Linked DNA regions of Caenorhabditis elegans. The protein of the gene in region 1 purifies or fractionates together with the protein of each later gene. This does not show direct contact. Each region holds a gene or a part of one and is shown in the gene's direction. Other genes may lie near its edges.

Region 1 (3,752 bases):
TTCTTTTGTTAGTGCCCGATTTGATATTAAAAGCAGGACTGTGGTTTTGGTGCAAAGATTTTGAATTGGAAGGTGTACGTTTCAGGTGAGTTCAAGGGATTCCAGGGTTTCAAGGCATGTATATGTTTGCCAAAATTTTTTTTTCAGAGTAGAAAATGGACCAGATGGGTCTCTAATACTGTGGTCCATCAACTCATCATTCAAAACTTCTCACTTGGCCATTGACAAACGCCTGAGATCCATACATCGTCCCACGAGCGAAATTCATTTAAATATTAATTCAAAAGATTTTACAACTTGTTTACCACATATTGAGAACATTAACTACGCTTTTCTGAAAAATACCAGTGGAATTAATAGGAGATTCAAGTCAGCCGACATTGAACAGCTAAATATGAAGAACTTGGTTATATGTAACCCAATAGATGGAAGGTTTGAGAATGATTCAGGAATTCTGAACCTAAATCATTTGTACCTCACCAACGCTGGATCAACGATTGACCTACCGACTTGGCAATTCAACGGTCGTCATCTATGGCTATCAGGAGCGAATATTTCAAACGAAGATGTGATTCATTGCTTGGAACTTTGGCAGTCAGGTGCAGCGTTTCAAAATCTAGAATCTCTACTTATTCGTACTGAAAAAGGATATCCCTTAGAACCTGCTATGATCTACAATCAACTTGATGCAAATCCATGGGATTCTGATAGACGGCCGCAGTATTATGTATTTGATGAAAAGTCAGTTTTCTTTGATTTTCTATTTATTATTTTAAAAGAATTGCGTTTCAGTGTACGGTATTTCAACTTTTCAAACAATTGCAGCAAAATGGACTTTGCTCGTTATCTGGATATCGAAGGTATTGAGAAAATGGCCTCTATATACATTATGCCGCATTGTTTGGAACTTTACGTCTGGAAACTATAAGATAACGTTTTTTTTGTCAATACTTGTTAACGGTAATAAACTGGAATATTCAACTGTCGGTATTTTGAAGTGCTTTGTTTGCACAAAAACAAAAAAGAAATCATTTTACTTTAGCTAAGTTACAAGCTTACCTAAATAAAATTATAGCAACAAAAATAATTAATCAAAAAAAAAATGATAGAAAAACTATGTATGTGAAAGTTTTAAGAATGACAATTTCTCAAAAGTAAAAGTGCATATCAAATTGAGTTTTTTACCAATATTCAAGTATAACCCTGTTTAACCTCCGTACACATTTTTGTCTAGTGGTGTGGTAAGCTTTCAGGGATTGCCCCTCTGTTTCTATTCACCGATTGTCCTCAATCGACTGTAACAACTGGAGAAATGAGAGAATATTACATTCACCTCCCTTGATTTCAATAGGCTTCAACTAGAAAACATGGCCAAAAATCGGTTTTAGCAACCTTCGATAATTCAAGCAATGTTCCCAATATCACATAGTGTCAGACTGTCTCATTACAGTTTGATCTACCGAAAAAGCGGGCACTTTTTCCAGAAAAATTGTGACGTCAGCACGCTCTTAGCCATGCGAAATCAGATAAGATGTCTGGGTCTCAACTCCCGCAGTTTTAAGATCAAATCGAAATAAGACATTCTGGCTCCACGTGCAATATGAATAGCTCGGTAACATGGTGCAAGACTACACCAACGCCGGCAATAAATATTATCGATCGATAATTCGTGCTCTGCGCGCGCGCGTCTTGTGCTCTTCACTATCTCAATTTACCTCTTTTCCATTCTACAGTCATTGTTATGTCCTCGCTATCCAAATTTCTTAATGAAGCTAGCTCTTATATTGAAGAAAACTTTATATTTGTGTGTACTACGATTTTGGCTGTTGAAATTGTTTCACTCATCACTTTTGATGTTTTAAAAGCAAAATTAAGGAAAATGAGGTAAAGAAATCTATGGCTATTAACCTATATATTTTTCTTTCTTTTTTTCCAGAATGAAGAAATTGCATCTTGTGAAACTCCCAGTTCTCGTTCAAAAAAGGATCTTCAAATTTCTGAGTACCCGCGACGTGTTTGCATTATCCCTTTGTTTTAGAAAGCTTGCAGTTTCAGTGCAAAACTGTAAATCGGAACAGCAAAACATGATTCATATGTGCTACAAAACATTTGATAGACATCAACATCAATTTTTAGTGGAGGACGAGTGCGTTATTTTGTTTGTGCCCGATTTATTATTCAAAGCAGGACTGTGGCTTTGGTGCAATTGTTTTGAATTGGATGGTATTCGATTCAGGTAAGTACAACGGGGTTTTAGGGTTTCTTTGTTCCAGAATTCCAGGGTTTAGAGGTTCCAGGGCACCAGCGTTTTAAGGCTCCAAGATTCCCGGGTTCCAGGGCTTCAGGGTCCAGGTTTCCAGGGTTTCAGAGTCCAGGGTTCCAGGGATTCAGGGTTTCAGGGTCCAGGTTTCCAGGGTTCCAGGTTTCCAGGGTGCCAGAGTTCCAGGGATTCAGGGTTCCAGGTTTCCAGGGATTCAGGGTGCCAGGTTTTCAGGGTTCCAGGGTTCCAGGGATTCAGAGTTTCAGGGTCCAGGTTTCCAGGGTTCCAGGTTTCCAGGGTGCCAGAGTTCCAGGGATTCAGGGTTCCAGGTTTCCAGGGATTCAGGGTGCCAGGTTTTCAGGGTTCCAGGGTTCCAGGGATTCAGAGTTTCAGGGTTCCAGGGTTCCAGGTTTCCAGGGTGCCAGGGTTCCAGGGATTCAGGGTTTCAGGGTTCCAGGGTTCCAGGGTTCCAGGGTTCCAGGGTTCCAGGGTTTCAGGGTCCAGGTTTCCAGGGTTCCAGGGTTTCAGGGTCCAGGTTTCCAGGGTTCCAGGGTTTCAGGGTCCAGGTTTCCAGGGTTCCAGGGTTTCAGGGTCCAGGTTTCCAGGGTTCCAGGGTTCCAGGGATTCAGGGTTTTAGGGTCCAGGTTTCCAGGGTTCCAGGGATTCAGGGTTCCAGGTTTCCAGGGTGCCAGGGTTCCAGGGATTCAGGGTTTCAGGGTCCAGGTTTCCAGGGTGACAGGGTTCCAGGGATTCAGGGTTTCAGGGTTTCAGGGTCCAGGTTTCCAGGGTGCCAGGGTTCCAGGGTTCCAGGGTTCCAGGGTTCCTAGGCATGTATCTGTATTGTTTATGTTTTCCATAAAACTATTTTTTTCAGAATTGGAGTTTCACTAGATGGGTCTCTAATACTGTGGTCGATCAACTCATCGTTCAAAATTTCTCACTCGGCCATTGACAAACGCCTGAGATCCATACATCGTCCCGCGAGCGAAATTCATTTAAATATTGATTCAAAAGATTTTACAACTTGTTTACCGCATATTGAAAACATTAACTATGCTTTCCTGCACAATACCAGTGGAATTAATAGAAGATTCAAAGCAGCCGACATTGAACAGCTAAATATGAAGAATTTGGTTATTAAAAACCCGATTGATGGAATCTTCAAGAATAATTCAAAAATTCTAAACTTAAACCACTTGCTCATTTCCTACGTTGGTTCATTAATTGATCTACCTACTTGGCATTTCACCGGGCGTCACATATGGCTATCTGAAGTGAATATCTCAAACGAAGATGTGATTCGTTGTCTGAAACTTTGGAAATCAGGTGCAGCGTTTCAAAATCTAGAATCTCTACTTATTCGTACTGAAAAAGAATATCCCTTAGAAGCTGATATGATCTACAACCAACTTGATGCAAACCCATGGAATCCTTTTAGACGGCCGAAATACTATGTGTTTGATAAAAAGTGAGTTTTCATAATTAAAAAAAA
Region 2 (3,752 bases), on another chromosome or scaffold:
TGCCTAAATTTGAAGCTATATTTTTTTTTCGGAAAATCTAGAAAAAAAGCGAAAAAAAAACAAAAATTGCACTTCTTTTGTAATTTTCCAGTGCCATATTTTGGATAAAAAAGGAAAATTTTTAATTTTTTTTTCGAAAAAAGCGAGTTTTTCTGCTAAAAACACGAAAAAGGCGGAAGAAACATTTTTTTTCAAAAAATTTGAATTTCCCGCCAAAATATTGAATTTCCAAACTCCTTCCACTTTCAATGACGCCAAAAAAAAATATTTTCCTCTCATTTTTCACTCTCTAGTTGACTGCGTTTCTCTCTATATTGACGCAAATAATTTTTTTTTCATCATTTTTTCCCCCGTCTCTTTTCATTTCTCTACACAAAAAATCTACTTTTTAATCAATAAATTCCCTTAATTTTCGCATTTTTTTCAGGTCAGCCCAAAACATGTCACCAAATACGTCACCCAAGTGCTTGTGGCGAAGAAAGAAGCCGAGTTGAAGCTGGAAAATCAGAAATTCGGAGAGAAAAAGGAGATTAATCGAAGAAAAGAGCTTCTGATGAGTGGAATGGATGAAGATGAAGCTGATAGGCATTTGGAGGAAATGAGGACTCGAAGAATGACAAATTCCAAGAGAAAGCTGGAGAAAATTAGTGGACAATTGGATAAAAGAGATCGATTTCAGAAGAAATTGGCGGCGAAAAAAGTGAAAAAGGAAGAAAATTGAATTCATTTTAAATATTGTAATTTTTGTTCAGCTTGTGTCGATTTACGCGGCTCGTGTACTCCTCGTGGAGAAGTGCAAAATTTTTACAGTTTTTGCTCAAAATTACAGAAAACTGTTAACAAAATGCAAATTTTTGAACAATTAAAACAATTAAAAGTGGCCAAAAATTACCAAAAATTGCAAATCTCCACTTTTTCAAATTAAAATTACGGTATATTTTTGGCATTTAAAGTTGTGTTTGCGGCAAACGATTTTTTTCCGGCAAATCGGCAAATTTGCCGGAATTGAAAATTTGCGGTAAATCGGCAAACCTGCAACTTGCCGAAAAAACGGAAATTGCCATAGATTTTCGGCAAATTGCGATTTTTTACCTTTTTTTTTTTTGATATTTCAGAATTTAAATTTTAATCGGCAAAACTGTACGCATCCTATGACTATTCCTACATCTAATTTGAAAATTGGCAAATTCTATGAAAATATCTAGAAAACCGACAAAAAAATTTCAAAAAAGCACAGTTTCAAGTTTTTCCGTCTCGTAAAAATTCTTCCAAAAAATTCCTGCAAATTTATGTTCGGTAAATCGGCAGGTCGACAATTCGCCGATTTGCCGATTTTGTCGACAAAGAAATTTGCCGAACAGCAACTGTTAACAAAATGCAAATTTTTAATTTAAAATTAAAATTTTTAAGTTGCCAAAAATCACCAAAAATTGAAAATCTCATTTTTTTTCTGGGATTTAAAGCAAAAAATCATTTTTTTTTAGTGTTAAATTCAAAATTCTAGTACTTTACTTCTCCTCGTGGAGTACACGAGCTTGCGATTTCTGTTGTTTTAGATTTAAATTGTTACTTTTTTTGTTTTGTTTTGTTTTTTTGTTGTTGATTTCTTTTGAAAAAAAATCAATATTTTCTATCACATCTATTTTCTTTTTATTCCCCATAATGGTTTCCTTAAAACCTTCCTCATAATATCTCTAAAAGCCGTCTCAAAAAGCGATTGCTCTAACACTTTCAGCTAATCATGATCTCCAGTGAGCACAACTATCAGCATTTATATCACGAAGAACAATACGATATGTGAGTTTAAAATGATATTTGGATAAATTTAGAAAAATCGAATTTTTGAAAAAAAAAATCAGATTTTTCTCAAAAAAGATCCAATTTATTTTCCGATAAATTGGCGAAAAATCAACAATTTTTTATATATGAAAAAAGAAAATTTTTCTAATTGTAAGTACTTACGAAGTGCTAAAAATAATTTAATCTACTAAATAAAAAAATTAAAAAAAAACTTTTGTTGTCAAAATTTTTTTTTTTCAACAAACAATTTTTTATTTTAAAAAGGTAAAAAATCAGTTTTTGCAAACACTTTTTTTCGAAAAAAAAAAACGTTTTTTACTTTAAAAAAAAGATGTTTCTAAAAACCTTCGAAAAATACCAGATTTTTCGAAAAAATTGCAATTTTTTTAATACGAAAATTTAAAAAAGTTAATTTTCGAAACAAGTCCATTTTTTAATTATATATTCTATCAAAAAAAATTGAATTAAAAAAAAACTTGATCTTCCATTAAAAACACATTTTTTTTCGATAAAAATCTTTAAAAATCTTAAGGTGTTTTTTCTTGAGAAAAAATACTCGATTTTCTTTTTAAAAAAAACTGCGCTTTTTTTGTAAAAAATTTAAAAAAAAATTAATTTCCGACAGAAAAACTATTTTTTAAAATTATATATTCGATAAAAATTCAAAAAATCGCGTTTTCCTTTAAGAACATATTTTTGGATAAAGTTTGATGTTATCAGTTTTTTTTTTCAAATTAGAAAAATCAAAAATTCACTCAAAAAAATCCCAAAAAGCATTTTTCCGAAAAAAAAGTTCGCTTAAAAAAATCAGAAAATTATCTGATTTTTCTAAAAAAAATCATAAATAACCTTTTTTTGCAGGAACTACACAGCGACCCGCTTCGGCGAGGAAATGATCGAACCGACATTCAACCTACGTCTCATCGAAGCCGTCCGTCATAGTCGATGCCTTTTCGACAATACAGACCGACAATACCGTAATACAGAATACAAAAATCGAGTTTGGCAGCGTCTGGTTACTGTACTCGGTTTTGATGGTGATCCGAGAATGTTATCTGCGAGATGGAAGCAATTAAGAGATAAATATGGAAAAGAGAAGAGAAAACAAAAATATGGAAATGAGAAATCATCATGGCAATATTTCAAACATCTTCATTTTCTAGATCCACATATGACAGATCGAGCAGAAATATCACCATCTCGAAAAGAGCCAACTGGAGTTCATGAAAAGATTGCTGAGCCATGTTTTGGAAAAAATCTAATTCTTGAAGTGAGAAGGCATCCGTGTCTTTATGATGTTCGTGATCCAAAATATCGTCATGGAGACTGTCGTACTCAAGCATGGGGAATGATTATTGATAAACTACGATATCCTGGAACAGTTCCGTCGATTTATAAACAATGGAAGAAGCATCGAGATCGATATGTTAGGGAGAAGAGGAGGCTGAGGAATTTGGTAGGCATTTGGAGGCCTCATGAAAAGGAGAACTTATGGAAAATGGGATCTGGCAGGCGGCAGTTGCCGGTTTACCTATTTGCCGGAAATTTTGATTCCCGGCAAAGTGACGATTTGCCGGAAATTCTAATTTTAGGCAATTTGCCGGTTTTCCGGAAATTTTGATTTTTGGCAAATTGCCTATTTGCCGGAAGTTTTCATTTTGGGCATTTTGCCGATATGCCGGAATTTTTAATTTTAGGCAATTTGGCGATTTGCCCGAAATTTTGATTTTTGGAAAATTGCCTATTTGCCGGAAATTTTGATTTTTGGCAAGTTGCCGATTTGGCGATTTGCCGGAAATTTTGATAAACGGCAAATTTGGCGATTTGCCGGAAATTTTGATAAACGGCAAATTTGGCGATTTGCCGGAAATTTTGATATTCGGCAAATTTCCGGTTTGGCGATTTGCCGGAAATTCTAATTTTAGGCAATTTGGCGATTTGCCGGAATATTT
Region 3 (3,752 bases), on another chromosome or scaffold:
TTTTCGGCAAATCAACAAACCGGCAAATTGCCAGAAATTAGAATTTCCGGCAAATCAGCAAACTGACAAATTGCCAGAAATTAAAATCTCCGGCAAATCGGCAAATTGCCAGAAATTAGAATTTTCGGCAAATCAGCAAACCGGCAAATTGCCAGAAATTAGAATTTTCGGCAAATCGGCAAGCCGGCAAATTTCCAGAAATTAGAATTTTCGGCAAATCGGCAAGCCGGCAAATTTCCAGAAATTAGAATTTTCGGCAAATCAACAAACTGACAAATTGCCAGAAATTAAAATCTCCGGCAAATCAGCAAATTGCCAGAAATTAAAATCTCCGGCAAATCGGCAAGTTGCCAGAAATTAAAATTTCCGGCAAACCGAAAAATTGCCAGAAATTAAAATTTCCGGCAAATCAGCAAATTGCCAGATAGTAGAATTTCCGGCAAATCAGCAAACCGGCAAATTGCCAGAAATTAGAATTTCCGGCAAATCGGCAAGCCGGCAAATTGCCAGAAATTAGAATTTCCGGCAAATCAGCAAACCGGCAAATTGCCAGAAATTAGAATTTCCGGCAAATCAGCAAACCGGCAAATTGCCAGAAATTAGAATTTTCGGCAAATCGGCAAGCCGGCAAATTGCCAGAAATTAGAATTTTCGGCAAATCAACAAACTGACAAATTGCCAGAAATTAAAATCTCCGGCAAATCAGCAAATTGCCAGAAATTAGAATTTTCGGCAAATCAGCAAACCGGCAAATTGCCAGAAATTAGAATTTCCGGCAAATCAGCAAACTGACAAATTGCCAGAAATTAAAATCTCCGGCAAATCGGCAAATTGCCAGAAATTAGAATTTTCGGCAAATCAGCAAACCGGCAAATTGCCAGAAATTAGAATTTTCGGCAAATCGGCAAGCCGGCAAATTTCCAGAAATTAGAATTTTCGGCAAATCGGCAAGCCGGCAAATTTCCAGAAATTAGAATTTTCGGCAAATCAACAAACTGACAAATTGCCAGAAATTAAAATCTCCGGCAAATTGGCAAATTGCCAGAAATTAAAATTTCCGGCAAATCGGCAAACCGCCAGATTGCCAGAAATCAAATTTTCTGCAAATTGCCAGAATTTTAATTTTCCGGCAAATCGGCAAATTGCGAGAAATTAGAATTTCCGGCAAATCAGCAAACTGGCAAATTGCCAGAAATTAGAATTTTCGGCAAATCAGCAAACCGGCGAATTGCCAGAAATTAGAATTTCCGGAAAATTGTTATTTTTAGAAAAATAGGATAATTTGAAAATTGAAGAAAAAAAACTAATAAAAAAGTTTAACTAAATTTTTTTGGAAGTTTTCACAAATTGTTAGTAATTTCATGAGAAATAAGTTAAATTTTTGTCCAAAAAATCAATTTTTCAGGCCGCCCAAGACCGTGAAGCCGCGTGGGCTCGCAAGGAAGAAGCCGCAAAGGCTGCGGAGCCGTCCAGCAGCTCAACTGATGCTCCAGAATCTGCTGAAACTCTGGAAATTCCAGAAGAAAATGTTCAAGAAATGACTGAATAATTTGTTTTTTTTTTGTTATCTCTTTTTTCTCCTTTAATTTATCTCCATTTATCCCCTACACAGTTATAAATTCTGCTACGTGGCCGTGTGGAAAAAACTCGGCCACCGATTTTTTTTTGTTCCCTCACGTGGTGCCAAAGTGTTTCATTTCTGTTTGATCTACAAAAAATGCGGGAATTTTTCCCCAAAAAACTGTGACGTCAGCACGTTTTTAATCGTGCAAAATCAGTTGAGAACTCTGCGTCTCAACTCCCGCATTTTTTGTAGATCTAGGTAGATCAAACCGAAATGAGACATTCTGTCACAACGTGTTCCCTTTATTGTTGTTGCAGTTGTTATTTGATTTTTTTTTTTGAAAAAATTTGAATTTTTTTTTCAGATTTTTTCCTCTGATACTGCTTCAAAAACTAAAGTTGTTGAGATCACACTATGATATTTTCTAGATTGTTTTTTTAAAATTTAATTGTTAAAAAAATCAGATTTCAGAAAATGCGAGCTGAGCTGCTCGGATGTGGACACACGGGCGAGGGACAGCTCGGCGTTCGGCTCTCCGAGTCGACGATTCAAGTTCCCGAGAGAATTAGTACGGAGCTATTTTTGTTGCAGAAATTAGAAAACAGAAAAAAAAATTAATTCCGAAATTAAATTTTAAAAATTAAAAAATTTCGGATGAAAAAAAAACAATTGGAAGATTTTTGTAAATCTTTCACAAAACTTTAAAAAAAACTTTTTTAAAGAAATAATGGCAAACCGACATTTTGCCGGAAATGGAAGATTCCGGCAAACCGGCAAAAAGCCAGAAATTAAAATTTTCTGCATATCGACAATTTGCCTAAAATGAAAATTTCCGGCAAATCGGCAATATGCCTAAAATGAAAATTTCCGGCAAATCGGCAATTTGCCTAAAATGAAAGGTTCCGGAAATCGGCAATTTTCCTAAAATGAAAGGTTCCGGCAAATCGGCAATTTTCCTAAAATGAAAGATTCCGGCAAATCGGCAAGTTGTCAAAAATGATAGATTCCGGCAAATCGGCAAAAAGCCAGAAATTAAAATTTTCTGCAAATCCACAATTTGCCTAAAATTAAAATTTCCGGAAATCGGCAATTTGCCGAAAATGAGAGATTCCGGCAAATCGGCAATTTGTCAAAAATGATAGATTCCGGCAAATCGGCAAAAAGCCAGAAATTAAAATTTCCGGCAAATCGGCAATTTGCCGAAAATGATAGATTCCGGCAAACCGGCAAAAAGCCAGAACTTAAAATTTCCGGAAATCGGCAATTTGCCGAAAATGAGAGATTCCGGCAAATCGGCAATTTTTCAAAAATGATAGATTCCGGCAAATCGGCAAAAAGCCAGAAATTAAAATTTCCGGCAAATCGGCAATTTGCCTAAAATGAAAATTTCCAGCAAATCGGCAATTTGCCTAACGAAAAAAAATTGATTACTTTGGAGCAAAATTGTATGCATCTTTAAAAAACTCTTTTTTTTTGAATATTTGTTTAAAAACTGTGTGAAAATAGTTTAAAATCGTCTCGGAATTTTCTCTGAAAATTGTTCAAAATTTCAGTTGGCGCTCCAAATGATATGGATGGAACCGCAGTGACGTCAGTCACGTGTGGTGAACAACATACAGTATTCCTGACAAAAGATGGCAAAATGTGGAGTGTTGGTAGTAATATGGATGGACAATTGGGACGAGGCAGTCGGACTGAGGGTTCTTTTTCGATTTATCCGGTTTCTTGGACAAGCAGTGCGAAAATTATTCAGGTAACTTTGAGTTTTTTTTTTGGCGAAAATCCATTAGAAAATGATTTTACCATATTTTTTCGCTAAATAACATTTGAAAAATAAAAAATTTTTCGTTTTTCCCTAGTTTTTGGCGAGAAAATCCCGTAGATCTCATTTTTGTAAACTCTTTTTCCGTGGAATCCCCTTTTCTTAGATTTCCATCTCGCAGATCCTCTTCCCATAGTTCCCATTTGCGTAAATTCTCTTCTCGTAGATCCCCGTTTCGTAGATCTCCGTCTTGTTGATCCCCTTCTCGTAGAATAGCAAATTTCTAGATCCTCTTCTCCCAGATACTCTTTTGGTAGATTCACTTCTCGTAAATCTCCTTCTCATAGAATTAATTTTGGTTCCCGTTTCGTAGATCTCTGTTTCGTGCAAGCTCCCTTCTCGAAGATTCCTTTGCCGTAGATCTTC

Evidence for each region.
Region 2: the proteins of F40G9.18 (region 1) and madf-3 fractionate together in Caenorhabditis elegans (co-fractionation; one large-scale study listed by BioGRID). This does not show direct contact.
Region 3: the proteins of F40G9.18 (region 1) and herc-1 fractionate together in Caenorhabditis elegans (co-fractionation; one large-scale study listed by BioGRID). This does not show direct contact.

What each region holds. Positions count from the first base shown.
Region 1 is NC_003281.10:167,546-171,297, reverse strand, and holds the start of F40G9.18 (F-box domain-containing protein), read left to right. Parts: upstream 1-1,719; 5' UTR 1,720-1,741; coding exon 1,742-1,884; intron 1,885-1,936; coding exon 1,937-2,236; intron 2,237-2,404; exon of another isoform or gene 2,405-2,509; intron 2,510-2,531; exon of another isoform or gene 2,532-2,809; intron 2,810-3,134; coding exon 3,135-3,728; intron 3,729-3,752. Other genes in the region: F40G9.9 (F-box domain-containing protein), read left to right, coding at 1-85, 148-741, 793-928.
Region 2 is NC_003280.10:4,333,015-4,336,766, forward strand, and holds the start of madf-3 (Alcohol dehydrogenase transcription factor myb/sant-like protein), read left to right. Parts: upstream 1-1,733; 5' UTR 1,734-1,797; intron 1,798-2,661; 5' UTR 2,662-2,692; coding exon 2,693-3,256; intron 3,257-3,752. Other genes in the region: H20J04.4 (RNA helicase), read left to right, coding at 428-721.
Region 3 is NC_003279.8:1,209,457-1,213,208, forward strand, and holds the start of herc-1 (HECT domain-containing protein), read left to right. Parts: upstream 1-2,028; 5' UTR 2,029-2,038; coding exon 2,039-2,132; intron 2,133-3,117; coding exon 3,118-3,317; intron 3,318-3,752. Other genes in the region: nsun-2 (tRNA (cytosine(34)-C(5))-methyltransferase), read left to right, coding at 1,406-1,549.